Lytechinus pictus: one gene and its partners. The protein of the gene in region 2 binds, or shares a complex with, the protein of the main gene of each other region. Links are inferred from orthologs where the notes say so. Each region holds a gene or a part of one and is shown on either strand. Other genes may lie near its edges.

Evidence for each region.
Region 1: leucine-rich repeat-containing protein 23-like (region 2) and nucleoside diphosphate kinase homolog 5-like share a complex: the UniProt entries of both Homo sapiens proteins name them as parts of the axonemal radial spoke complex. The link is inferred for Lytechinus pictus from reciprocal best matches to the Homo sapiens genes LRRC23 and NME5.
Region 3: leucine-rich repeat-containing protein 23-like (region 2) and ropporin-1-like protein share a complex: the UniProt entries of both Homo sapiens proteins name them as parts of the axonemal radial spoke complex. The link is inferred for Lytechinus pictus from reciprocal best matches to the Homo sapiens genes LRRC23 and ROPN1L.
Region 4: leucine-rich repeat-containing protein 23-like (region 2) and DPY30 domain-containing protein 1-like share a complex: the UniProt entries of both Homo sapiens proteins name them as parts of the axonemal radial spoke complex. The link is inferred for Lytechinus pictus from reciprocal best matches to the Homo sapiens genes LRRC23 and DYDC1.

What each region holds. Positions count from the first base shown.
Region 1 is NC_087262.1:20,226,925-20,234,437, reverse strand, and holds the start of nucleoside diphosphate kinase homolog 5-like, read right to left. Parts: upstream 3,027-7,513; 5' UTR 2,931-3,026; coding exon 2,784-2,930; intron 1-2,783. UniProt on the Homo sapiens protein: Functions as part of axonemal radial spoke complexes that play an important part in the motility of sperm and cilia. Does not seem to have nucleoside diphosphate kinase (NDPK) activity.
Region 2 is NC_087258.1:18,346,244-18,353,150, forward strand, and holds the start of leucine-rich repeat-containing protein 23-like, read left to right. Parts: upstream 1-3,878; 5' UTR 3,879-4,158; coding exon 4,159-4,281; intron 4,282-6,654; coding exon 6,655-6,767; intron 6,768-6,907. UniProt on the Homo sapiens protein: Essential for sperm motility and male fertility. Plays an important role in the proper assembly of the third radial spoke (RS3) head and the bridge structure between RS2 and RS3 in the sperm flagella.
Region 3 is NC_087253.1:25,059,277-25,066,602, reverse strand, and holds the start of ropporin-1-like protein, read right to left. Parts: upstream 3,030-7,326; 5' UTR 2,942-3,029; intron 1,639-2,941; 5' UTR 1,618-1,638; coding exon 1,478-1,617; intron 81-1,477; coding exon 1-80. Other genes in the region: patatin-like phospholipase domain-containing protein 4, read right to left, coding at 6,001-6,369, 6,793-6,858. UniProt on the Homo sapiens protein: Functions as part of axonemal radial spoke complexes that play an important part in the motility of sperm and cilia. Important for male fertility.
Region 4 is NC_087262.1:9,009,057-9,016,044, forward strand, and holds the start of DPY30 domain-containing protein 1-like, read right to left. Parts: upstream 3,011-6,988; 5' UTR 2,849-3,010; intron 1-2,848. UniProt on the Homo sapiens protein: Functions as part of axonemal radial spoke complexes that play an important part in the motility of sperm and cilia. Plays a crucial role during acrosome biogenesis.

The DNA of each region.
Region 1 (7,513 bases), on a different chromosome or scaffold from region 2:
ACATTGAATGACCTTTGACCTTGGTCATGTGACCTGAAACTCGCTGCAGGATGTTCAGTGATACTTGATTAATCTTATGTCCAAGTTTCATGAACTATGTCCAAATACTTTCTAAGTTATGCTGTCATTTCAGAAACTTATTCGGTTAAGATTTGATGTTGACGCTGCCGTCGGAAAAGCGGCGCCTATAGTCTCACTCTGCTATCCAGGTGAGACAAAAATCATGATACAGTGATGAAAAATAAAGTAAAATAAATTTAATAAAAAAGAAAAACCACATGCTATATAAAAGAAATGAAATTCAAAATCATAAATTCGTCATTTTTATTGAATGAAGAATTTAATTTATTGATAATTGGAAAAAATATTACCCCTATTTTCTTTCAATATAACCAAAATACGTGTAGGGCCTAGTGTGATTTTCATCACATAACATGATTTAGAACAAAAATCAAGCCATAATTTTGGGTTATCATGTGGGACGGAATCTTCATGACTGCATTCGTCGGACGGAATTTTTCTCTTAAATCCATCTCTGCCGGCTTTTCACCTTCCCTCTCCATCATCCTCATCCCTATCATCATCCTCGTCCCTATCATCATCCCCATGGGCGGAAATCTGTCCCCAGGGGGGACCTGGGGCTGGAAAATTTGACAAGCATTAAAAAAAAAGGTTATCGCCCAAAATGTAGGGTCATTTTATAACCCAAAAATAATTGACAAGAAAAAAAAGGGGGTTTTCACAAATATAAGGTCATTAATTTAGTCCTAAATACATGTATTATTTCAATTGTGAATGATGTATTATTTTGTTCTCCATCATACAAGAAGAAAAATAGTAGGGTGGACATTTGATATTGTGTCCCTTTACTATTTTTGGTAGGGGGACACGTCCCCCCCTGGGATTTCCTCCCATAATCATCCCCATCCCTCACACCCTTGTCCCTCTCACCATCTCCATGCACCCCTCTCATCAAGAGTCATCATCCCCATCCCTCTTATCATTGCCATCCCTCACCTCCTCGTCCCTCTCATCATCGAGGCCCATCCCTCATCATCGCCATCCCTCACATCCTCGTCCGTTTCATCATCCTCATCTCCATCTCTTTCATTACCTTTATCCCTCTCATCACCCCCCCCCCCTTCTCATTAAGAGTCATCAAAAATTATCATCCCTCTCATCATCACCATCTCTCACCTCCTCGTCCCTCTCATCATCAAGGCCCACCCCTCATCATCGCCATCCCTCACATCCTCGCCCCTCTCACCATCTCCAAAACTCGGCTCTCTACACCAGGGAAACTCAATATAAAAAATAAAAATGAAATTGGCATGCCCACACAGATACACCTAGAACATTTTCACATTTCGGGGGCAGGAGTGAAGAGGCTCCGAGCCCCCATCCACGTAAAAGTATTTTTTGTGCGACTCAAACATCCACACCACAGTCACACTCAAAGTCAAAGAAATTGAAGCATATTGATTATTACAACTTAAAACTCAGCTCTCTACACCAGGGACACTCAACATAAAAAAATAAAATAAAATGAAAAAAAAAATAGGCCTAAAAATAATCAATTTGAAGTTAAAAATTAAGCCCCCAAATAAACATTTATTATTGATGGCTACCCTCAGCCCGGCATACCCACACATCTACACTGCGAATATTTTTTCACATTTCGGGGGCAGGAGTGAAATCGCCCCGAGCCCCCACACTGATCGTAAAAGTATTTTTTGTGCGACTCAAACATCCACACCACAGTCACACTCAGTCAAAGAAATTGAAGTATATTAAATTATTATCTTAAAGCTCTACACCAGGGAAAATAAAAATAGAAAAAATAAAAAAAATATATAGGCTTATAAATATATACAAAAAAAAGGCAGAACCTATACGACACTGCCAAGCTTCAAGCTCTAGTTCACTCTCTCACTCAGTCAAGCTCAGCTCTTTGACTGCGCACGCCCACTTCCATTGGGGATTCGGGCTGAATCCCACCCCGCCAGTTTAGGCGGCCGAGCTACGTAGAATTGCGATGAAGAGCAGCGGACCGTTCATCGGTTGTTCGCTTCTTGCGACCAGAGAGAAAAGGTGAAAAACTTTAACAAAATCGTGCAAATGCACCAAATTTTATTCTTGTGATGAGAAAATGGAGTTAATGGAATACAAGAATGTCCATCTTCTGCGATAAAAGTGGTAACTTGAGGATAAATGATCACAAAATCAAGTCAGTTGTTGAGCGGGGCCGAGCCGAGCACCGACACAGTTAATACACGCGCGCCTATGGGAATCGCGAGCTGTCGAAAAACGCCTAAAATTACACTTTTTTTTTATTTCAGCGAAAAAAAAGTAATAGAAAGTGAAGAACATTAGTCATTACCATCAGACCATATCTCTAGAAAATCTTTACAAGAAATTACGAAATGACGGAAAAATAGACGCAGATTTGTGAAAAAAAAATCTCGTAATGGGTGGGACAACTCGGCCCGCGGTCCGAGATGTCCCGTGGTCCGAGTTGACCCGACAACTAAAGACAAGGAATAGGGGCCTAGGGCTATTCCTACCTAGAACTTAACTAGGTTAAGGCCTAGTTTAAAGAAACAAACTGAGTATTTGATGGAAAATTATTCGAAGAAGGTTTGTTAAATGCAATTCGACAAAACATGATTGAAGACAAACCAACAAAAGGACACACACAGTCACTCAGCTCAATCACGACACAGCAACCACAGGGAACATGACACATTCTGCAGTATCTGGGACTGTGATATTGATAATTTTACCTGCAAAATAGTGAAACCCGACTGCAGGATAATTTCCTCGATTTCGACTGCTCTGTCGATTGCATCTGGTTTTATAAGTGCAAGAGTCCTTTCTACATAGACCTGAGGAGGCTCCATCATTCTGTTCTCTATGTCGTTTTGAGGCATTTTGGTGATTTTTCAGAGAATATTAGCCCACGAAATCTCGATGTCAGCTGCTTCTGTTGCCAAGTAACAAAATATAAAGCGCCCTCTGCGTTCATTAAGTTCGAGGTGATTATCGTACAAGGACAAGGTTGATAGCATAGAGATATACTATAGTATCCCGTAATTAGTAACCAACTGGAATAAAATTATTGGAAATGGTTTTTTGACTGATTTGAGTAGGTATGGGTGTCAACATTTACCAAAAAAAAGTTAGGAGGAATACGGGTTGGGGAAAGTGCTTTTTTTCAAGGTCAAAGGTCGATGACCTTTTTAAATATACTGTATCATGGTATCTCCCAGATAAAATATTACAGGTTGGTGATCATAGTGTCAAAATGCACAGATTCTTACAAGAAGATCAAATAAAATCAAATCAAGTACCTACAATGCTCATTCACCCATGAAATTCAAGGTCAAAGCCTTTCAAAGTTCAATGACCTTTATTACATTATATACCTTATACGGTATAATGGTATCTCTGAGATGAAAAGGTGCAGGTTGGTGATCTAGGTGTCAAAATGCAGAGGTTCTTATAGGAAGATCAAATAAAATCAAATTAATTACCCAGAATGCACATTAAACAATAAAATTCAAGGTCAAAGCCTTTCAAAGGTCAATTACCTTTTTTCTACATTATATACCATATTCGGTATAATGCTATCTCTCAGATGAAAAGGCGCAGGTTGGTGATCTTGGTGTCAAAATGCACAGATTCTTACAGGAAGGTCAAATAAAATAAAATTAATCACCTAGAATGCATACTAACCCATAAAGTTCAAGGTCAAAGGTCAGTGACCTTTTTACATAGGCTATATATCGTATAAAGGTATCTTTGAGATAAAATGCTGCATGTTGGTGATTTTGATGTCAAAAAGCAATTTTTGCAAGAAGATAAAAAAAACTAAAATAATCATACAGAATTATCCAATATCCAAAGTCAAAGGTCAAAAGTTGATAAATATTTATATATCCATGCATGATTCCCCCAAAAAAGAAATTAATCCATTATATTCACATTTTATTTGTGAATAATAGAAAGAAAGATAACTATTTGTAATGAACATTTGGAAGTCTAATAATTTCACTCTGAAAGAAATAAGGATATAAAATGGCCATGGAAAATATATTTAGGAGTTAAAGGTCAATCAACTATGTCAATAGTGTCAGGGAATTTAAGTAAATAGGTCGATATAACGTGATTGTGGCACGTAGGTATAGTGATTCAGATGGGAAAAAGACTGACCTGCGTGGAAAAAGAACACAAATTTAATAGTTGAATCCTTGACCAATGATGATGTCAAAATACAAGTTCGAGGTAAAATTGGATCAAATAGCACTTTTTTTAATAATATACTGTAATGCATTGACAAAAGTGTAAAAAAAAGCATTTAGATATGCATTTTATAAATCTAAATCAAGGTACTAATTTCTCTGTAGCAATAGGTCACTAACCTCAAATGCTACAATCAATACTATAACACTATAACTTAATCTGTAAATGGAAAGGATAGGCCTAAGTCTTATGACAAGCATCATCCGAGAACATTTTCATATAGCCAGGGACAATGACGAAGAATTAAAATAAGGCAATCATTAGAGCTGCAGCTTTTTTTGTCATAGATGAAGTTAAGTGTCTCAACTTCAGCAAAGAGTAATTGAACTCTTGAAAACCTTCTGACATTTTCAAGACTTTGATCTGGCCCATTCAATGAAAGCCTAACGTTCTGTCAAGGGATATCAGACCAGGATCTATATTATTACTGATAATTGCACATCTTGATTCTCAAGAACTGGAAGTGGTGCTGTAGGAGTTTTGTTAGGTCGATGGATGTGTACTTGTAAGCTATTATCTCCTTTTGAATTGCATTGTTATATGCCACATTTGTACATGATAACAATCAGTTGTTCTGGACCAAAAACATGATCCTTGTACAAACTGATACCTAGTAGAAATAGCATCATGGGTGACGTACGGCAGAGAGCAGATATGAAGTTTTGTCTTGCAGCATTAGCATCACAAGATATTCTGGCAGCTCGCAATGAACTGATGAAAGATACTAATTATACGGGAATTCACCTTTGTTGAAGTTGATATATATATAATTTACTACATGTATATGACAGAAGCTGCAGCTCTAATGATGGCCTTCATTTCATCATCATCATCATCCCTCTGCTGTTTGGAAATGCTCTCAGAAGATGCTAGCTGTGACATGAGAGTTAGACCTGTCCTATCCATTTTCAGAAGATTAAGCTAATAGTTTATAGTATTTATTATAGCATTGATGTGAGTGGCCTATCGCTGGAGAGAAAAGACACGACAACATTGGTTTAGATATAATGATGCATTAAATGTTGCTACTTAAGATAAAAATCATTTCAAATTATATACTTGATTTCATTTATTTTTTCAGTGCTTTTGGCAATGCATCGCAGTATATGAAAAAGTGTTATTTGGTTATCAACTTTTTAAACTTAATTTCCACTGATATTTTGGAAAGGGCTCATTGACCTCTGACCCCTAAATACATTCTCCATGGCCTTCATTATTTCAGACCGAAATTATGAAACCTCCATGTTTTCATTACAAATTAGCCATGGTTATTTACATTATTCAGATATAAAATATGAACACAAAAGATATTGTTTTTGGTTATTTTTATATCATATAGATTATATATTTCCTCTGATCTAGGATTTCAAGGGTGAAAGTTTATTCTTTATACTTATTTTAGTGTTGTTTAATCTTCTTGTACAAGTCTTTGGATTTTGGCACCAAGATCACCAACCTGCGGTGTTTTATCTCAGAGATACCATTATTATTATCTAATGTTAAAAAGGACATTGACCTTTGTCCTTGAATTTTATGGGTGAATGTGCATTCTCGATGCATAATTTTATTTTATCTTCCTGTAAGAATATGCGTGTTTTGACACCAAGAACAGCTGCACCGTTTTACCTTAGAGATACATATGTAATATAAAAGGTCATTGACCTTTGGCCTTAAATTTTATGCGTGAATGTGCATTCTAGGTACTTAATTTTATTCCATTTGATCTTCTGGAAAGAATCTATGCATTTTGACACCATGATCACCAACCTGTGCTTTTTCATCTCAGGGATACCATTATACAGTATGGTATATAATGTAAATAGGTCATTGACCTTTGAAAAGCTTTGACCTTGAATTTTATTGGTGAATGTGCATTCTAGGTACTTAAGTTTATTTTATTTGATCTTCTTGTAAGAATCTGTACATTTTGATACCATGATCACCAGCATGTACCTTATCATCTCAGAGATACCATTATACGGTATGGTATATAATGTAAAAAAGGTCATTGACTTTTTGAAAGGCTTTGATCTTGAATTTTATTGGTGAATGTGCATTCTAGGTACTTAAGTTTATTCTATTTGATATTCTGGTAAGAATTTGTGCATTTTGACACCATTATCACCAACCTGCGCCTTTCCATCTCAGAGATACGAAAAGGTCATTGACCTTTGACCTTGAAAAAAAGCACTTTCCCCAACCCGTATTCCTCCTAACTTTTTTTTGGTAAATGTTGACACCCATACCTACTCAAATCAGTCAAAAAACCATTTCCAATAATTTTATTCCAGATTGGCTCTTTTGGGGTCTAATTTAGGGATACTAGTATCCCGTAATTAGTAACCAACTGGAATAAAATTATTGGAAATGGTTTTTTGACTGATTTGAGTAGGTATGGGTGTCAACATTTACCAAAAAAAAGTTAGGAGGAATACGGGTTGGGGAAAGTGCTTTTTTTCAAGGTCAAAGGTCGATGACCTTTTTAAATATACTGTATCATGGTATCTCCCAGATAAAATATTACAGGTTGGTGATCATAGTGTCAAAATGCACAGATTCTTACAAGAAGATCAAATAAAATCAAATCAAGTACCTACAATGCTCATTCACCCATGAAATTCAAGGTCAAAGCCTTTCAAAGTTCAATGACCTTTATTACATTATATACCTTATACGGTATAATGGTATCTCTGAGATGAAAAGGTGCAGGTTGGTGATCTAGGTGTCAAAATGCAGAGGTTCTTATAGGAAGATCAAATAAAATCAAATTAATTACCCAGAATGCACATTAAACAATAAAATTCAAGGTCAAAGCCTTTCAAAGGTCAATTACCTTTTTTCTACATTATATACCATATTCGGTATAATGCTATCTCTCAGATGAAAAGGCGCAGGTTGGTGATCTTGGTGTCAAAATGCACAGATTCTTACAGGAAGGTCAAATAAAATAAAATTAATCACCTAGAATGCATACTAACCCATAAAGTTCAAGGTCAAAGGTCAGTGACCTTTTTACATAGGCTATATATCGTATAAAGGTATCTTTGAGATAAAATGCTGCATGTTGGTGATTTTGATGTCAAAAAGCAATTTTTGCAAGAAGATAAAAAAAACTAAAATAATCATACAGAATTATCCAATATCCAAAGTCAAAGGTCAAAAGTTGATAAATATTTATATATCCATGCATGATTCCCCCAAAAAAGAAATT
Region 2 (6,907 bases):
ATTGGTATGGTTACATAAACAAAAATGAGTGAAATCATGAAATCTAAGCTGAAAACAATCACACTGTAGGTCACCAACACAGATAAGCACATGTGGGACAGTGTATTTTACTGCTTGGAAAATCTCATGCTTATTTTGCTAATTTTTCAGCAATTACATAATTTCTTCCATATTCCTTTGGAACATAATGGAAAAAGACAACACAATCTCATTTTATTAGATTCTGTATACCATTTTGTGAAATTATACAAATTACATTTACGTCAGCAGCTCGGTTGTACATACTCATGACAAGTTGGGAGAAATTTTGTATTCATGACTAGAGATCTGAATTGATAACCGTTCACCTTGTCAGTAAGTGGTTTGTGAATTTTTCAATTTTTATATTCAGAGAGCTCTTCATTAGTTGGTCATTGCGTTTTTGTTGATTGCTAAAGTCTTCAAAAGTGTAGGTCACTGCATTTTGTGAGCAATTTGCTTGGGTTTTACAGACAGGCATGTTCTACCTTAAAGGTCAAGTCCACCACAGAAAAATGTTGATTTGAATCAATAGAGAAAAATCAGACAAGCACAATGCTGAAAATTTCATTAAAATCGGATGTAAAATAAGAAAGTTATGACATTTCAAAGTTTCGCTTATTTTTAACAAAACAGTTATATGAACAAGCCAGTTACATCCAAATGAGAGAGTCGATGATGTCACTCACTCACTATTTCTTTAGTTTTTTATTGTTTGAATTATACAATATTTCAATTTTTACGAATTTGATGATTAGGACCTCCTTGCCTAAAGCACAAAATGTTAAAATAATGGAATTCCACGTGTTCAGGGAGGAATGAAACTTCATTTCACATGACAATGACGAGAAAATAAAAATATTTCATATTTCATATAATAAAATACAAAAGAAATAGTGAGTGGATGACGTCATCAGTTCCCTCATTTGCATACCGACCCTGATGTGCATATAACTGTTTTGTGAAATGAAGCGAAACTTTAAAATGTCATAACTTTCTTATTTTACATCCGATTTTGATGAAATTTTCAGTGTTATGCTTGTTGAATTTTTATCTTTTTATTTAAATCAAGTCTTTGTTGGGGTGGACTTGTCCTTTAACTAAGGGAGCTCTGTCACCTTTAGACAGCACAGCTCATATACCTAGATGAGGTCAAGACTTGCAGAGGTAACCATCGGGATGTAGTCTATTTTTTTTCAATTAATACAAATAAAATAAAAGTTTGTACTTACAGTCCATCGATTCTTTACTCTGTCATCTTGCAATTCCAGCCCATCAATTCACGACTCTGAGTTCTTTGCCATGATAGGATGTCAAATATTTTCTATTTTTGAATGGACAAGAACTTGGAATCACAGGCTGATGGGTCGAAATTGCAAGATGATAGAGTATAGAATTGTAAGTGAAAACTTTTGTTTTGTTTTTATTCAATTCAAAACTAGACGCTTTTTACAAACGCGTATCCCCTGCAATTTACTGCATCTATCTGAGCTATGCCGTCTCCGGCGGCAGAGCTGCCTGAGTTATGATTATGATTCAATCCTGAGCTCTACTGCCACAAAAATCAGAAACTGGTTGACTCGGGGAGCTCCGCTGCCAGACATCATGCTTTATGTTCATAACAAAATTCTCTTAAAGTTATAGACATCTTATAACATGAGATGGGAAAGTCTGGATCTATTAAAATCAACCATCTCTGTCAATACATGGACAGACTGACTCATTGACTGGATGCCAATTTTGTCTCTTTTTAATTTTAATATGGAAAAGAGGAATATTGGTATGCCTTTCAAGATGATAGAGTAGACTTAAGGTCCAATGTAAGTGTAAGTAGAAACTTTTGTTTTATTTGTATAGGTCTAATAGCGACTTTGTCATTTTAAGCCAACAGATACCCCCACGATCATGACAATTCTTGACTGCATCCAGGACATCCACACGAGTCATGACTGAGCTAAGCTGCCTGAGCCGAGCTCTGCCTTCTCGGCGCTAATGCAGTTTCGCACCAGGCACCACTAGCCGACATCAAGCAAATCTCCCCACCAGTAATTATTCACGAATGTCACAGAAAAGTCTCTTAGTCACATTTCGAGGTCAATATAAAGTAGGGACAGTGATTTTCCGCGATCGCGGAAAACGGACGGAATTCACGGAAAGGGCCTTTTGAAACGGAAAGTGGCATTTCAAACGGAAAATCACGGAAAACGTATTTTCCCTCAAAATACACAGAATAGCAACAGAAATTACTCCAAAATCACAGCAAAATGAGAATATTAAATGGCCAAAAAACCCCAGAAAACACGATCTCACTTCGCTACTATCATGACAATTCACACATCGTGACTGCACTCGACATCAGCACACTCGTTTGTACCCCGCACCGTACCCGTACCCGGCCGGCCGGGTTGGGCTTCACATGCACACATATCGTTCAACTACATGTACACGGTCGTGTGTTGCTGCCCTCTACGTTTGAAGATGTAACAGCACGATATCGTGGTCTTAAAATCCAAGATGGCGGATTAGGGAAAAGCCGTTGACTGATGATAACGATGTCCAAAAACCCCCAAAATTATCGATGAAATATCATTTCACCGTGAAATAATGCTAATAATATGAAAGGTGAGGATGTATGCATGCAAAATGGGTGTGTAAAAATATTTTATGCACCCGCATAGATCCGATTAGAACGGATTTTATTGTGTTGTTGGTACAGTAGCAGATACAAATTTTGACCAGTGCGAGTGTGCGTGTTGTGATTTTGCTATTGAATGTGTAAACGGAATTGTCACTTTTCCATGTGTACAAAGTCTATGGGGAAACGGAATTTCCGTTTTCTGACATGCTGAAATGGAATTTGAGATTTTCTGAAACGGAAAAGGCAATTTTTTGAAACGGAAAATCACTGTCCCTAATAAAGCAATATGCCCACCATTTTTCCAAATATCACGATCGGGAACAGCTGTATTATTTCGGCTCCAATCCCGACGTTATCGTTCGAATTCTCAGTCAAACATAGCTTCGCTTGGCTACGCCTACGCCGTAATTTTGATATAGACTGAAGTACATTGTAAGCGACCATAAGATTTGGTTGCAGCAGCTCACCCGTTTGTTTGCCGCATGTTCACACGATTTTGGTTGCTAACTTCAGTCCATATAAAAATTACGGTGAAGCCAAGCGACGTCAGCCGTGACCAGTGGGAAACTACATTAATAAAATTACTTAGCATCTTCTTTTCTGCAATGCAACTTTTTATTCATGTTAATTGTTATTGGTTAACAATAATAGTACATCGTCATGCCATGCCCATGACCTCATTGGTATTTTTTCTTTTATCGATCTCCGAACAGCGGAGGAACTGCGAGAGAGAGGTACTAGGATGCACTTAATGCACTTTTCACTTGTTTCAACTCATATTTATCACTAACCCATCATCACAAGCAGCTAGAGCATGCACTTAGCAGTCCATGCACAATCAAAATACCACCACATCCAGGGCAGCGCTGCGCGACATCTGCCCCGATAGAGATGGCGCTCACTGCACGGTTCACTGGCTCTGCATTGCACCCACACGCAATCCACACAAAACACGACTCACGAGAAATATGGTCGAAATAAATTGTTCACCACGGGTCATCCAAGATACACCCTCTAAAATGACAATCAATGAAATTCTCAATGCATCATTCAGTTATGACTAACAGCTGTTTATCACACCATTAATATGTAGAATTACAGATTTCAATGAATTATACGTACCGAATGTGACTAAAACTATGGGCTGGCTTGTCTGCTTTTTGACGTTCTCCTCTTTTTCAATCCACTCGTTTGGTACTCGTTCACGATTATTTTTTGACTCGGATCGATATCGAACGAGCCTAATCCGATCACGTTTAGAGATTCAGAAATTAAAGATTTAATCTTCTTTTTTATACAAGGATTTTTACTCTAAATTTTTTTGATTAAAATTATTTTAAAAAGATTTTTCTAATGATGTAGTTTATAAATAGAACAATCATAAGGAAAACATTATTTCAACCTCGTACACTCAAGCTGTGCAGTTTCCAAAGCAACGCTGCTATCTCTGTGAGATTAATACACAAAATCACAAATTTAGGACGAATTTGAGAGATTTTAAAATGTCAGATTACGACGATCAAGAGTACGACGAGGATCAAGAAGGGGTTGATGAACCTGAGATCGGCCAAGAAGAAGGAGGGGATGAAGAAGAAGGAAATGAACAAGAACAGGAAGAAGAAGAGGTAGGCCTACCGGTACGGTGCGACGAGTGCGATTACTAGCAAAATTTATACGGGAAAGTCTGGGTGGGATCTCCAATCAATGCCGCTAGTCGTAGTCGTCGTAGACCAAAAGCTTCGGTCTCTGTTATGTTGGTTGTTCCGCTGAACTCCGTTGGCTCCACTCACCAAATACAGAGTCTCAGAGACCAAAGTTCTAGCGCGATCTGTACAGGGGACTCAATGGCCATATGTTTATGTATTATTACGTTCGGATAAAACAGGGAAGTGAAGTTGCGCGACAGCCGAAGTAAGTCACTGTTTTTTCCCCTAGGCCCTAATTTAAGTTTATTTTTCCCCGTTTTTGTGCATTTCACTCAGGCCAAAACAGAATAATAATCTTTATTTTTGTACAGTTCTTTTTATGTATTTTTATGAAATAAAGACAAAAATCGATAATTAAGCCCCGTCGGGGGGGATTTTGCATTGTTAACACCCCTAATGGTGGCTGCACTATAGCTAGACAGGAATAATCGTCGTTTCTGGGGATTTATTCAACAATTTCTGACATTTTACTATCATCCCCATTCACCTTCTTCTTCTGTTGATTTCCTCCAGTCCTGGAGAACTGCGAGATCCAGTGGATACGCAGAAAAAGTGACGGTAGTGTGTTAGTGTGAGCTCGCATGTGGTATCTCATCCTCCCTTTTGCCGATTAACTGTCCACACTTCGATATGCTTTTTTACATCGAATTTATACTCTAAAGATTTATAAACTACTAGATATCAATCTTTCATATATAATCAATGAATAACTTTCAACGAAATAGATTAAAAGGTATGAAAATGGTACTTTACCGATGTTTACTTGCGACTTGGACACCAGAATCAATCCCAAAATTGCAGCCAAAATATGAGATATTTACAAACGAACGGAGAGTGCATCAACAATTTACGAATGTGATATCGATATTGCTTTCGATATTAATTAATTATGCGATCTGCTCCACATGCGAGCTAAACCGCTACGATCACAGGTAGCAGACGACATTCGATATATCGAGACATTAAAAAGTTAATAACGATAATGACGTCATTCAAGATGGCAACTTGCTAGAAAAACCGTCAGCTCAGGTGAAAATGTCTTGGATGAAAGATTTCTCGATCATCCAGAGGATTTTTATCAATAACTCCGGTCCAACGTAAAAAGCCTCTTAATGTTTATTTTGGCTAAATTTCTAAAGCCGACTTTACAAATTTACCACATTGCTATATTGTGCTGCTTCAGAATATTTCGTTTATTATCCACAACTTTGTTGAAGTTGATATCTGTTGTCTATGTATCCGCAACTTGATAAAAAAAAGTGGCCATCTGCAATGTTAAGAATATCACCAGGTTCTGGGGCTCCGCCCCAGACCAGTGGCGGCACCAAGGGGGAGGCACGGGGTAAATGTCATAAGCATCCTACTATAGCTGCAAAGTGCTCCAAAACAGCTTTTTCATCATCATCAAACTGAAAAAAGCCCCCACAAAGATACAGAAAGTAATAAAAATAAATATACAGTGCAGTGGAGTGAGTAAAGGATACCACAAAAGTGACTTGGCTGGGGATATCTGAATTTCAAAAAGAAAAAAAAAATTCAATAGCTGCTCTTTAATCCGATACCTCAATCGCAGAAAATTGTCAAGAAATAACAAAGTTCTGTTTCTTTGAAACAATGCTTGCATTTTGTTTGAAAAAACATGTTTTTGCCGGTTTCCCACCAAAGCTATCGCACTGTTAACAAAAGACTTCATGCGTGGCTGATCGTCGACAAAACAGAGTGTCCAGTCAGTATGACAGCTAGCCTGTTAAACCTCTTCATTTTTATGAAATTACTGGAATTCAAGCATTATTTCAAATTAACAGAACTTTGTTATTTCTCGATCATTTTCTGTTATTTTCTGTTATAATTAAAGTGCAGATATTGATATGATCCTTTATTAAAATTGATTTTCTTTTTGAAACTCAGACACCGCCCGGTAAGTCACTTTTTGGTATCCTTTATTAAACTTGATTTTGCTCACTCATGCGTGAATAAAGAATCATCTGCATCATTCCAGATGAAAGATGAGACTCTAGGCTTTACAATGAAAGGTAAATTGTCTATTATATTTGTGATTAAGTTATGATAAATCATCAACAAATTTTGGTTTTATTTCTTGTGGGATGCACTGTATACGTGTAACTAAATGAATAAATAGATGGATAAATGAACGAATAAATAAATAAACAAACCAAACATGACCGCACTCAGCCAATCATTTGATTAAGATGTTGAAGGGAGTTATTTAATGAAAGATGTAAGGATCGGTTAGAAATATAATCCGTTGTTATATTCTCGTTGACTTTTCAGAAAATTCCAGAGGTTCTTTTAACAGAAGAAGTGATAGCAGAGAATCTTTCTTTACTCTGCAAAACTGGAAATGGCTTAGCACATGCTTATGTCAGACTAGACGTGAAAGAGAGGTATGTTATCTGGCAATTTTTTTTTCCAGTGTGAACTGACCCATGGACAAAGCTGTTCTCTTTCCAAATATTTAATCATAATTGATATGAATGAACGTGAAAGGTAATAACATATAGGCCTACATGTAACAACATGCTTG
Region 3 (7,326 bases), on a different chromosome or scaffold from region 2:
CTGTTTTCTGTGTGGCCATGGGCATCTCAAGCCTTTCCTTCACTGGGGGTGTCTCCCCATTGGCAAGGGCATGAAAATATCTGCAAAATAGGAACACACAAATGTTTTTTTCATGCGGAAATCTAAGGGGAAAAGCTATCTGTAACAACAACTAAATATTCATAAATGAGGACAAGTCTATGAGGACAAAAGGCTGTATTCTAAGCTCTGGTTTTACTGAAAGTATGAATCAATTATCTCAGTCTTGCAAACCTTGTGGATACTGGGTAGCCAATAAATTAAAAGCTAAAAATCTTTTTAAGACACTGGGTAACGACAACGATTCCGGGTTAACTGCAATTTAAACTGGGTCAAAAGTGGGGCTGCCAAGAAAATAACTTTGGTTATTGCTCAGCAAAACAAACATTTTGGGAATTTTAGGCAAATGGTTTTCTGCTCACAATATGCTGTTTTTAAATTGAAAGAACTTAATTTCATAATTGTTACCCCATTTCAGAAGTACCCAGTTGTCGTATGTCAAGACAGGTTGTTTTAGAGGACAAGTCTACCCCAACAAACAGTTAATTTTTTATAATAAAAAGAGAAAAATCCAACAAGCATAACACTGAAAATTTCATCAAAATCAGATGTAAATTAAGAAAGTTATTAGATTTTAAAGTTTTGCATAATTTTACAAAACAGTTATATGCACATCCTGGTTTGTATGCAAATGAGGAGACTGATGACATCATCCACTCCTATTTCTTTTGTATGTTATCATATGAAATATTTTTATTTTCTCCTCATTGTCATTTGTCAAGTGAAAGAATGATTAATTCCTCCCTGAACATGAGGAGTTGGCCTTGTTTAATACTATATGGTTCAGTCAAGTTGGTCCTTATTGTCAAATCTGTAAAAAATAAAATATTGTATAATTCAAACAGTAAAAAACAAAAAAAATAGTGAGTGAGGGACATCATTGTTTGTCTCATTTGCATATATGTCACCGAGTTGTGCATATCAATCTTTTATGAAAAATAACAAAAGTTTAAAGTGTCATAACTTTCTTATTTTACATCCGATTTTGATGAAATTTTCAATGTTATGCAAGTTTGATTTTTCTCCATTTATTCAAATCAACATTTTTCTGTGATGGAGTTAATTGAGCATTAAATCCTGGGAACGTCGTGATTAATATTTCATAAATTGTTTGAAAGCAATGTAATGTAAGACAACATTACAAATATAAACTATTAGAATTATTTATATTAATGCATGCATGTCAAGAATTTACTGCTATAAAAAAATGACATCAATATAAGTATCCAGACACTGCCCCATCCTAAAATCCTGGGTCGGATTTCATAAAGAAATGTTATCAAAACATATGCACTTTTCCTGTAACAAATTTACTATTATATGGAAGGATTTCAGTATCTGTTGTTGCCCAAATTTTTCATAAAAATTTTTACGAAACAGGCCACTGATTTGGACTTACGCTGCTGACCACTGAAGGACATCAGCCGGCTGGGTCCTGATGGCAGACTTGGTGAACTGCTTCATGATATCAGGTAGGTCAGGGGGAATGTTTATCTGCTGTGAGCAGTACATAGGTACGTCATCACCTACTCCTGGCATCTTGATTCTTATTTTGCGAGTCTGTAGAATGAGAGAAAGGGGAATTTTTTTAATCAAGTGGGGAGGCTTGAGTCTTTGAGTAGGGTGTCTGAAGCCACACTGAAAAGTGTCAGCATAAAACAGGCTGATTTAGGGGAAAATATGGCACATTTTTTTCGGGGAAGTTCAGGCTACTAGAAAAATGTGATCTGAATTGATTATTAACTTGTGTTTGGCATGTATGGAAAGAGAAAATTCAGGGGCTTCTTTTGACAGTAAGGACAAGTTTATAGGATCATTTTAAATAAGGATTTAGAGATAAATTGCAAACCCTTATTTTTGTGTGTGTTGAGATTGCCATTTCTCCATGCGTTTTCTATGGGAAAATGAAATTTCTGTTTTGCACAATTTTTTTCACTTTGTCGCAATTTTTCATTGTGATCTGGTTTCCAAATCTTTATAAAAATCATACCATCAGATAGAGCATAAAAAATCCTATTGGACTCTTTATGGACAAGTTTTTGGCATTAATAATAAATTTATAACAGCTCTCGGAAGCTAAAAATTCGGATTTGTGTGTGTCCATTTCTTAACTACACAGTCTATGGCAGAGAAATGCTGAAAATTTACCTAATTTCATTCTTCTTTTTTGCATCCAATAATTTGATTTTTTTCAAAAATGTTACATTTCTGTCAGTCTGAAGGTCATTTCCCCTCAAATTCACAAAGAAAATGTGATATTTTCTTGAAATAAGAAAAATATTTTTTTTCTCCAGACACCCTACTTTGAGAAATGGGAAGAAAAAGAGAAAGTAAAAAAGGAATAGATCTAGGTGCAGGAGGAAGATAAATAAAATGGACAAGAACAAGACTGGAGAGGTAAAAAAGATTTGCATGACGAAAGAGAACAAGGGGGAGAAGAGCCAACTCATTTTGCAATTTTCTCTCTTTCTTTTCTGTTTCTCACATCTCTGTTCTTGAGAGTGAGACGTTTTACTTTTAGTTTAGACGTCGAACTCCACTGACTCACGACCAGATTTTGTCATGAATTAACTCACCAACACAACAAACATAAGAATCGTTAAAGATACATATGAATATCACTTAGTCTTAACTTACATTTTACAAGAGAAAAACAAACCGACACAATAGAAATCATTCTGGGTCAAAAATCCAACACGAAATTCTATGTATGGGACTACACAAATAAATTTACTCGAAACTGGGAAAACTAATCACACATAAAATGCAACTTTTTGCAATAAAGCAAACATACAGAAACCTAGGAATGAGAAGACTTATTATTTCTTACTATTTTTAGAACAAATTCCTAAAATATACTTACGTGACGGAAGAAATATGTAGGATTCTAGATTGGAAAAAGATTCTTGATTGACCAGCGTTGACAAGGCAACATAGAATTTCACGCATGCGCAGAATCGTCAGTGTCTCAAACTTTTTCTTTTCGATCTAAAAAGTATCTCGCCGCCGCGCGCCCACGGATATTTTTCCGTGGCTAATGGACAAAATAAGTATCGGAAGGGGGGGGGTGTTGGGCAGGGCGACTTTGAAAATAGTAAAAAGAGAAGGGAGAAGAAAAAAAGGGGGGGAAGGAATTGCGTGGGCTTGGTCATATAGGCCTGCAAAATTAATATATTTTAATGAACTTCAACTGAAAATTAAATCATCGCCCCCAAACTAACCCTAATGCGCCCCCCGGGAGGAAGCTAGATCCTACAAAATATGTTTGTCGGGAGGCCGGCCGGGTGCAGAAAATGTGAACGGGGCAAAACTGAAGATTGGTGCAATAAACAGAACGGTCTTATTTTCTGTAATAATTTTCGTCCTAAATTAAAGGACAAGTCCACCCAAACAAAAAGTTGATTAAAAAAAAGAGAAAAATCCAACAAGCATAACGCTAAAATTTCATCGAAATCGGATGTAAAATAAGAAAGTTATGATATTTTAAAGTTTTGCTTAATATATCACAAAACAGTTATATGCACATCCTGGCGGGTATGCAAAAGAGGAGACTGATGACGTCATCCACTCACTATTTCTTTTGTATTTTATTATATGAAATAGGGAATATTCTATTTTTTCTCCTTATTGTCAAGTGAAACAACGATTAATTCCTTCCTGAACATGTTGAACGAGCATTGTTTAATACTATATGATTCAGTCAAGTTGGTCCTTATTGTCAAATCAATAAAAAATGAAATATTGTATAATTCAAACAATAAAAAACAAAAGAAATAGTAAGTGAGGGACATCATCGACTTTCTCATTTGGGTTGTGCATATCACTGTTTTGTGAAAAATAAGCAAAACTTTAAAGTGTCATAACTTTCTTTTTTTACATCAAATTTTGATGAAATTTCCAGTTTTTTGCTAGTTTGATTTTTCTCTATTTATTCAAATCAACATTTTTCTGGGGTGGACATGACCTTTAATAGCAATATTGATCTGTTTACTTATGCATATAAAGATGGTGTGGGAAAGCACCATCTTTCTCCATATTTTCTATTCTCCGTTTTTATTTTTTATAAATATATTGATTTAGCACTGAATATGGCTTTCTTAACATATTAATTATAATTATTGCCATTATTATTGTGACATTCTTTTGAACATTTGGTAGGCAAATGTTTTTTAAGGCTTGACTTTGTCTGAGTCAGTGCATAATAGGCAGGAATGGTGCTAAAATGGGGCAGAGCACATGTGACTACCCAACTTATACATAGAGGAGAAAAATAAGAAAAAAAGAATGAAATGAATGAATAAATAAATGATAATAATAACAATAATAATAATAATAAAAATTAGAAGAAGAAGAAGAAAAGAGGGTATGTTTAATTATATAATTTTATTGTTGAAAAAAAATAGACGCTCCCATTTAGTAGGTTTGCCCTTCCCCGATAAATAAATTTAAAACAACTATGATGGAAATCTTGGTTTGGTCTATAATGTCCATATAAACCCATCCTGTCTTCCCCTCACCTCTCTGGCCGATCCCCCTCTCACACTCTCCCTCTCTCTCTCTTTTCTAACCTCCCCCCCCCCCTCCTCTCTTTCTATTCATCCGCCCTCTCTCCCTCGCTCTTATTTTAACTCTATCTCTCACTTTTCTCTGTTCTAACCTTTCCCTCTCTCATTTTTTCCCCGACCTCTCTCACGGACACACCCATCCTCACATGCACATTCTAATATCCCCCTTTCTAACCTTCTCCCCCCCCTCTCTCTCTCTTCCTCGCCCCTCACTCTCCCTGTCTGTCTGTTTATCTCTCACCTTTTGTAACCTTTCCCTCTCTCTCTCCCCCGCCCCCTACTCTCTCTCTCACTCTTCCTGTCTGTCTGTTTATCTCTCCCCTTTTGTAACCTTTCCCTAGCTCTCCCCCTCTCTTCCTTGGTCCTCTCCTTCTCTCCCCTCTCTCTCTTTCTCTCCCTCTCTCACATTCTTTCTGTCTCTGTCAACCTGTCGCCCCCTTTTCTCCTTTCAATTCAATTCAATTCAATTTATTTTCCACATCTTGAGTAAAAAAAAATATATTAGTACAAACAAAATACATACATACAAATATAAATAGTTACAATATAAAGACATAAGAAAATCAAAATGTGAATGGGATTGAAAAATGCCATATTGATCGATCAACGTCAACCCCAATGAGAAAATAAATGAAAATAGATAATCTAAAAATATAGTCACAATTCAATCATTATCATAAAAATTATGTTTTTATTTGCACAAAACATGGCATACATTAAAGGAAGGGGGGATCGACTTTACAAAGTGTCGGAAAGTGTACAGTAAAAACAAATTAATTTTCATTGTAGAAATGGTCTTATAGGGGATTTTTTTAAATTTAGATTCACAATAACCAGCATACTTAATTCGTAAAAATTATACTTTATTATCTTATTGCTCGAATATCATCTCCTAATTTCAAATCTGACAGAGTAGAACGAGATTTACGACCAGCAGACGACATATGCTACAGGAAATTGCCTTATGGTAAATGCTTTTTCCACCATGCATGACAGTTGCCAGAAGGAGCAGAGCTTTCGCCCAATAATTGGTGGTTAGTGATGTTTTACCTGATTGCCAAGAAATTAGCATAATGCTTGTAAGCAAGTAATCAGAGGACCGACGGCTTAAGGTCTACCGGCGATCGAGGGACCTGGTAATGAGGATTATATAGGCCTAATTTCTCGATGGTAAACCTATTTCATTTTCCCCAATGACGGGCCAATATATATCTCTTTTATAGGCATTTCCGAAGCTTTTCCTAAAGTCTGGTATCAGAAAATTATTCCATGAAAGCTCGTGACACCCGGATCTGACTATAACCGGAAATCCAAACCCTGACGATTCGATGGTTGTTGTATCCATGGTGATTTGTCCTCACCGAAGATCCTCAACCGAATGAATAGCAGCATACGAGTCCCGATGAGGTTTATAACCTTTCCCGTTCTCCTCGTAAATATGATACAACTTCAAAAACCTAGTCGCATCTTCGTACCCGTCCGCAAAATAGGTCTCAAGATAGGCCTTTGGGGGCGGGAAAAGCCCATCCCCAATCCGGTACATCTGCAGCGCGCTGATGTCGAACCGCTGACCGGTTGTGTCCACCCAACCGCAAGCGATCTTGTCCCGCATCCGGAGGCGGTTTTTCGGATTTGGCGAGATCTTGATCAGATTGCCTGATGGGAATTGAAAGGTCACGTCGGTAGAGAGGTTCTCCTTCCGGGACAGGGTGACGTCACCAAGGAACTGCAAGGGGGAGGGGTAATACAGTTGAACACGCAAAAAACTATTAGTCAACTGACGGGTCCAGATATGATGAAAAGTTAATTCCTTACAATAGATTAAGCAAAATGAAAAAACAAATCTTTAACAATATGGAGGTGGGGGGGGGTTGAACCTTGAGTTTATCAGAGCAACATGATACTTAACATTCAATTTTCAAAACTATCAAATCGATATTATTTGCTGTGGAGTTCTTCTTTTATTTCTTGGGTTGGAGGTGTTTGTCAATATATCGCCCCGTTGTAAGAAATGACTTGAATTATCTAAAACAAAGAGGTGGTATTATAGCAATATGAGATGAAAGACAACTTTATCCCCCAAACGGGTGTCAAATGAGATCACTTGGATGCTGATAATAATAACAAGAGTTAAAAAAAAAAATCCTACCTTGCCGTCTATAGAGGGCGGTGTCCACGTTGTGAACCAAGGAACGAAGACACTCCCAAGGATAACCTGTAACGAAATAAAATAAACAAAAGCAAACGTTTAAAAAGATGTTAAATGCCTATATTCACTACTGTATTATACGAAACAAGCAGGTGCTCGATTAGTGAGAGATAACGATAACGATAAATTTTTTTCAAGGAAGAAAGAGCGAGGAAAAAAATATATAGTAGGAATTGATATATCAGTGTAGATGATCCAGGAATTATGACAGGGAGGGGGCACTTTTTCCCCTCCCCACCCCATCCAAAAAATGACAACAACAAATTAAATGTTATCAGCATTTTCACGTTATGATCACTTTGAAAAGAAGAAAAAAAAATGTTTAAGGGACACATGCCCCCATTTTAACAGGAACCACGCCTGGGTTCAAGACTATATTTTCTTTCCCAATTCAAACATGATACAAAGGACCATAAACCAAATACAAATTCACGAATGAACATTATTACACACAAAAAAATAATTATTGGACTT
Region 4 (6,988 bases), on a different chromosome or scaffold from region 2:
TAGGAGACACAGTTTAGGTAGAGAGTGGTTGTTTGAGTTTGCTTCTAATGGATCCATCGCTGAAAGAGTATATGACCTGGCCTGTGGACATGACATACCCCGGCAGTATACATCCTCCAGCTAGGATCGAACAGAGCGCTCTGCAACGGTACCTTTGCATCGCTTCCGAGCTTCAACCAGGCCATCGAAGTACTCCATGATCCATTATTAAGGTTAGACTTAGTAGTTAGTAGTTTATAGCGTAAGTTAGGCCACGATACAACATCTGGGGGGCGTTTCATCAACATTTTTGTCCGACAAGTTGTCAGATCTGACAACTTTTCTGGATTTTGATTGGCTGAGAAGCACTGTTACTATGGTAACTGTCGGATAAAATGGGAGTTGTCGGATAAAACATCTGTCAAGTCCTTTCATGAAACGCTCCCCTGCTTAACTAGTCTGAAACAATAACTTTGGGCATCTAGATCTTAGATGGTTTACTTGCTGTGGTTGTCTTGCTTGCACTTAGACTCTCGATTGATCTGTTTTTTGTTTTTTTTGTAACTATTGTATTTCGTTGCAATTTTGTTGCTGAATATTAATTAAAACAATTCACAGATGGGGAAGAAAGAAGTGACTTTGTAATTATGGAGAGTACAGCGTGAATTCAAGATCCCGCGAATATGTTTTGAAGCCGCCAAGCATGAATTATTAATCCTGCGAAAATAACAGCGTTTACAGTAAATGGGCTAGAACTTAATTTCCGACATTTATATAATATCCATTTTATTTTTAAACAAATATTCATTAAGAAATTTCTAGAAATATATTTGAGAAGACAGGAAAAAACTTGCCGACATCTATGTAGCCAAATCTTGCTTTCTTTGTTAGTAGCTAAGCTATGAGACACCTAAAGAGGGCGGCAGACTCTATTTGCAGCTTAGCTACTAACAAGAAAGCAACATGGCTATGTAAACATTGGCAAGTTTTTTCCCCATCTTCTAAAAATATATTTCTCGTTTTTATTTAATGAACATTTGTTTAAAAATGAAATTGATATTCTATAAATGTGGAAAATGAAGTTCTAGCCCATTTTCATGATTTAGGGTTAGATCTTTCACAGGGAAAGTACTTAGTAGAAATCTAGTCCAGTCCGTACTCACCATCGGTACAGAGAGCTCTAAAAGTCGCATTGCGTAAAAATCACAATTTACCGATAAAAGTGTACAGTTCAATTGACATTTACCGGACAAAGATGGTGGAACTAGAAAACCGAATCAGTTGGAACAGCCCCGTGTGCCCGACAGTTTATTATTTTTTCCGACAGTCTGCAGTCCAGTTTTTGTTTTCCCCTTTCTCTTAAACTCTTTCTTCTTTTTCCCCTTCCCCCTTTTTTTCTCTTTCCTTTTTCCTCTTCTTTTTTCTTTCCCTTTTTTCGCTTCCTTTTTTTTTTGCTTTGTGACTCGTCAGGGGGGGGGGAGAGTCTGCCCCTGCCCCCCCTTAGGTACGCTAGTGACCATACTGCATGCTCGCATAGTACGTGTGCATGTGGTAGTTAACTTTACTGAATGCACGAAGCCATATCGTAGATTAATAATCTATCATTAGGCCCTCTCATTAAGTTTGTTTGACATGCTGTACTTTATTTCTGAGCTCTACAGAATTTCTGTGCTCTACAGAATTTCTGACATAAATTATGTGTTCTCTATTTTTGACGAGCTCGCGCTATTCGCGATGGACTATAATTCAGTCATTTTGTTTACTTTTGCGGTTGTCTGTATTTCTGTTGTTGTTTATGTTTCTGAAGTTTTCTTTAATTCTGAGGTTGTCTATATTTATGAGGTTGTCTTTATTTCTCTGATGGCTGCCTATATTTCTGAAAATGTCTTTATTTCTCAAACCGTTAATTTGGGCACTTTTGGCCGCCCATAGGGACTGTGTCTGTGTTCTCTTCCCGGAGTAGAGCAAAAGCTTCGGTCTCTGTTATGTTAGTTGTTCCACTGAACTCCGTTGGCTCCACTCACCAAATACAGAGACCGAAGTTCTAGCTCGATCTGTACAGGGGACTCATGGCCATATGTTTACATGTATGTTTTACTATGTATTAAGTTCGGATAAAACAGGTAGGGCCTAAGTGAAGTTGCGCACTTGCGCGAGAGCGGAAGTAAGTCACTGTTTTTTCCCCTTTTGAGTTTATTTTTCCCCGTTTTGGTGCATTACAGGCCAAAACGGAATATTAATCTTTAATTTGGTACCGTAGATTTAGTTCTTTTTATATAATTTTATGAAATAAAATTAAATGAAATAAATTTTATGAAATAAAATTAAAGACAAAAATCGACGAGCCCCGTCTGGGGGGATTTTGCATTGTTAACCCCCTAAATGGTGGCTGCACGATAGAGAGCTGTCTGTGTAAGAGGAGAAATTTAAAAAAAAAAATTAATGTTAAAAAACTCGAAACAGACGGCTGCCTGTGCCAGCTGTCTTACTCTGACTCTCTGTCGTATTAGTGTCTATTCCCGCGGAATTTGGAAACATGTCACATTGATCTGTTGATACTGATACTGATAGACCATCAACTCGGTTGCCTGGGTTAGTACCTACATCATGTACATGTAACTAGCCGTCTCACATTAGGGCTTAGCATAGGCCTAGATCTAATTCTAGATTACTCTAGTCTAGACAATTATCTCAGTCATATTTATCGAACGATGGATTGAACTAGACTCGACGATCGACAGGCTTCAAGTCAACCTTACACAAAACTGCGCATATGGGGCCGAGTAACGAATGCTTTATTTTGATGTTCCGGTATAAGAACCGTCTACAATAAAATAATTTACACTTTTTATAAAATGAAAACACTTACAATCAAAACAATATATTTCACAGTTTTATGATAGCTTCCCTTTGATATAATCACTTCTAAGATGGAATTATGGTTTGATTTATATTCCGTTGCCAAGACAAAACAATTTCTGTAATCACAACAACAATTACTCGTTTCCAACCAACGTAGAGGGCGGTATGTAAACATTGAAGCGGAATTCGAGACAAAATTGCTAGTAATTTATTGTTCTCGATGTAACCTTTCAATAATTTTTCCACTTTCGGTTTAAGGACGTTCCACAGTTAAAGTGAAATCCATGTCATTTTCACCAAACTTTGCACATAGATACTTTAGAACCTTAATATTCGAAATATGCAAAAATTAACATAGGTCCATGTGCTTGATTTTTTGCTATAGAGCTTCAAAGTTCACCCAAATTGATGTTCTTAAAAATTGCGCATTCAAAAGAATTTGGCATTTTTAGACCACCCAAGATTACTACAATGAGTTTAAACCTCTATTACTCAGTCAAAATACATGAAAAAGTCATCAAATTTCGCAAGAGAGTTAATAATTGTATCGTTAGAATGGAGAATCTATTTATAGTGCTATTTGTTTGCAATTTTAAGTTTAACAGCACTGCCATTTCTTAAAAATTGCATAAAAGATAACAAAATCCCAATCTAAAAAATGTGAAATTTCAGTTACAAACTACAAACGTACAATAAATGCTGCACTTTATTCAAAATCCATGTCATTTTCACCAAAATTTGCAGAGTTGTAGAAGAAGGTATACCTAAGCGGTACAAACATTAAAAAATAGGGGTTCATGTGCTTGTTTTTAAACTATCATCATTTTTATTAGAGCAAATGTGCTTTTTAAAACACCAAAAATGCGCCGAATGCGTTGTATCTATGTGAAGAAAAAATCAAAACCACTCTACCATTTATTCAAACTCGGGGTAATATTCGTGATTCTTGGCAGCACTGCAGAGTAAAGTATTTTGAAATTGTAGAGAATGTTTTTTTGAATGGTCCATGGAATAATTCCACTTTATAGCTTCATGAAATAACACATCGGATCTGCAGTTAAAGTGCAGAAGATGAGAAAAATCAGCTCATACCCGCAGCTAATTAATCACCTGTTCATCCATTGTGACGTCAGCGCGCAGAGTGTAAACTATGCGCAGATCATAATGCGCACAAACATAACTGTGGAACGTCCTTAATATAATTTTAACGATGAATTTAAACTAGTCAGGGGCGAATCCAGCTTTCGCCGAAAAGGGGCCCAACATTTTGTTGACCTATATTACCCCGATTGGCCGCTCAAAGAGACTTTTGTTTATTTCTCTGTAGGGGTAGTCCTAACAGACACTTCTTAATTAGCTTTATTCTTATTAAACAACATACTAGTAATCTCATAAGCCCTACTTGAAGCGCGAGCAAAAAATTTATATCGTGATATGAAAAAGATTTTTCGAATTTTCCAGTCTTCCCCTCACCTTATTTTATTCACTAGCTTCCTCCTCTTATTTTTCCTTTTCTCGGCCTCCCCCTTTCTTTCCCCTTCTTTCTTCTTTTTTTTGCTCAGCCAGTGGGGGGCTGGATCCGCCTATGGTAGAGCATCTCCGGCCCTCACGGCTTAACGAATGAGATTGAGGATCTTGTCTCCTTGTCTTCTCGTCCTAAATAGGTCGACTTGACGAGATTGAGGATCTTGTCTTCTCATCTGCTCGTCCTGAGTCGACTTCAGTTGACGAGATCAGTCTTCTCATCCTAAATAAGTCGACATGACGAGATAATGTATCTTGTCTTCTTGTCTATATTCGCGCTTAATTAAGTAGACTTGACAAGATTGAGGATCTCGTTTTTTGTCTTCTTTCCTCGTCTTCTTGTCATCTTTTCACGTCTTCTCATCTAGTTTTCTGGGGGCACGTCTAACCTTCCGACGTATAGTAGCTCCATGTATCCGTTTGCGTGATGCGGATTGGCTCGAATTGGCTCCAATCACCAACAAACTTCAAGTTTCATGTTTAACTCCCGGTTACTTTGTGTATATAATTTTCTTTCTTCCCCCCCCCCCCATGATTTCGATTCTTTTACATAGCGTGTAGTTTGTCTTTTTAATTAATCCTTCATTGTCAATGTTTCATGATTGTTATATGTATTTTTGTATGTACAGGGCTCTCTCGAAAAACAGTGTATACTTTATGTAATGAAGAGACCACCCTATTTAGAATATAAATGAATACATTTGTTACTTTGCTTCTGTAATTATTTTGTAACTGTCGATGTTGATTTGTATATTTATTTTAAAAAAGCAACTATAGGCCTGATTATGTTTACTTATTGGAAACAATTTTTTCTTTTATGCTTATTGCTATTTAATGAAACCATTCCTTATCGCAGAAACCATACGAAACACTATGGATAGAGAAAGACAGTAAAAATCTAGGATAAACTGGAATATGTTCATGTTTATGTTTTACGTCAGGTGACATTATCTTTTTGAAATTTTCCCCTCTCTCCAACTATTAAGCGCATATATATAGTCCAGAGACGGTCTCATGTTTAGGCCAAGTACAAGACCTGGAAAAGTTGTTAAATACAAGTTTTTTTGTTGATTTGTAATCTAGATGGGTATTGAAGTAAATTCAGCTTAGTTGCCACCTTGGAAACCTTGAGCAATTTTTTAATTAGACTAATAAGCATAATCATCTAATTAGCATATATGTAATACGCTACTTCTCTTAAATCAGAAAGACTTTAAAAAAATAAATTATATCATTTTTCGAAGAAGTCCCGTGACGAGGAATCGATACATAATTTTTTTTAAATATTTAGGTTATGCAATTATCGTAATCAGCCAAATTAGCATAATGGGCTAATCAGCGTTTACAAGTGTACATACGTATTTATGGATGTCTATCGAGAAAACGCCCAATACGTATAGGTAATGCTGCTGCTGCAACCCTCCTATGGTTTTCTATGGCGAGGAATTCATTTATGACATTATTTTTCAATTTTAACCAATATAATAGCTGTAATTAACATAATTAGCATGCACTAATTAACATAATGTGTGATATGTAGATTTAATCGTCAAAGTGCTGTCTACAACGGCCTGAAAACATATATAATACAGCTCTTCTAATGATTTCGATGTTGATGAATTCATTTATGACAGTGATTTTCCCTTTTAACCAATGACAATGTCTTAATTAGAATAATTAACATAATGCATTAATTACCATAATGTGCAATATATACATGCATATGTATACATATATATATATATATATATTGTGAAAGAAATGGATGAAGAGAACATTGTATAGGCGTAGCTTAAATCAAGGTTCCCTAGAGCTATCTACCCTTTTGGAAAAAAAATGATATGTCGAATAATGTCTCTGCCGGGAATCGAACCCGGGCCCCCAGCTTTGATATATATAAATATATATATATATATATAATGTATTTCTTTGTCATTTTACATCGAGAATGCCCCAAAACATGAATAATACAACTATTCCATATGACGAGGAATTCATTTATTATTAGCATAATAAGCTTATTAACATATATGAACAATAAAATTACATATGAATATACATTCCTTTGTCATTATATATCAAGAATGCCCGAAAACATGAATAATACAGCTATCCTATGATTTTCTATGACGAGGAATTCTTTTGTGACATTATTTTTTTCAATTTTTTTTTATTTTGCCAAATGCGCTAATACATATGTGAAATATATATATTCCATTGTCATTTTATATTGAGAATGCCTCAAAGAAGTTAATACAGCTATCCTATGGTTTTCAATGATGATGATTTCTTTTGTGACATTATTTTTCCGATTTAACAAACATTATTGTTTTAATTAAGCATGATGTGCAAATTAACATATCTGAGCAATATAATTACCTATAAATATATATTCCTTTGTCATTTTATATCGAGAATGCCAAAAAACACTAATTATACGGCTATTTCATAGTTTTCTATGACAAGAAATTCATCTATAACATTATATTTCGCTTTTAACAATGTTAATGTTAAATTAGCGTAATGAGCTAATTAAAGTGGAACGAATCTGGCAGTCTCGCCTGCATTATGCGATTTTATATAGCAGCAATTTTGGCTATGAAAACAGCTATTGAATAAAATA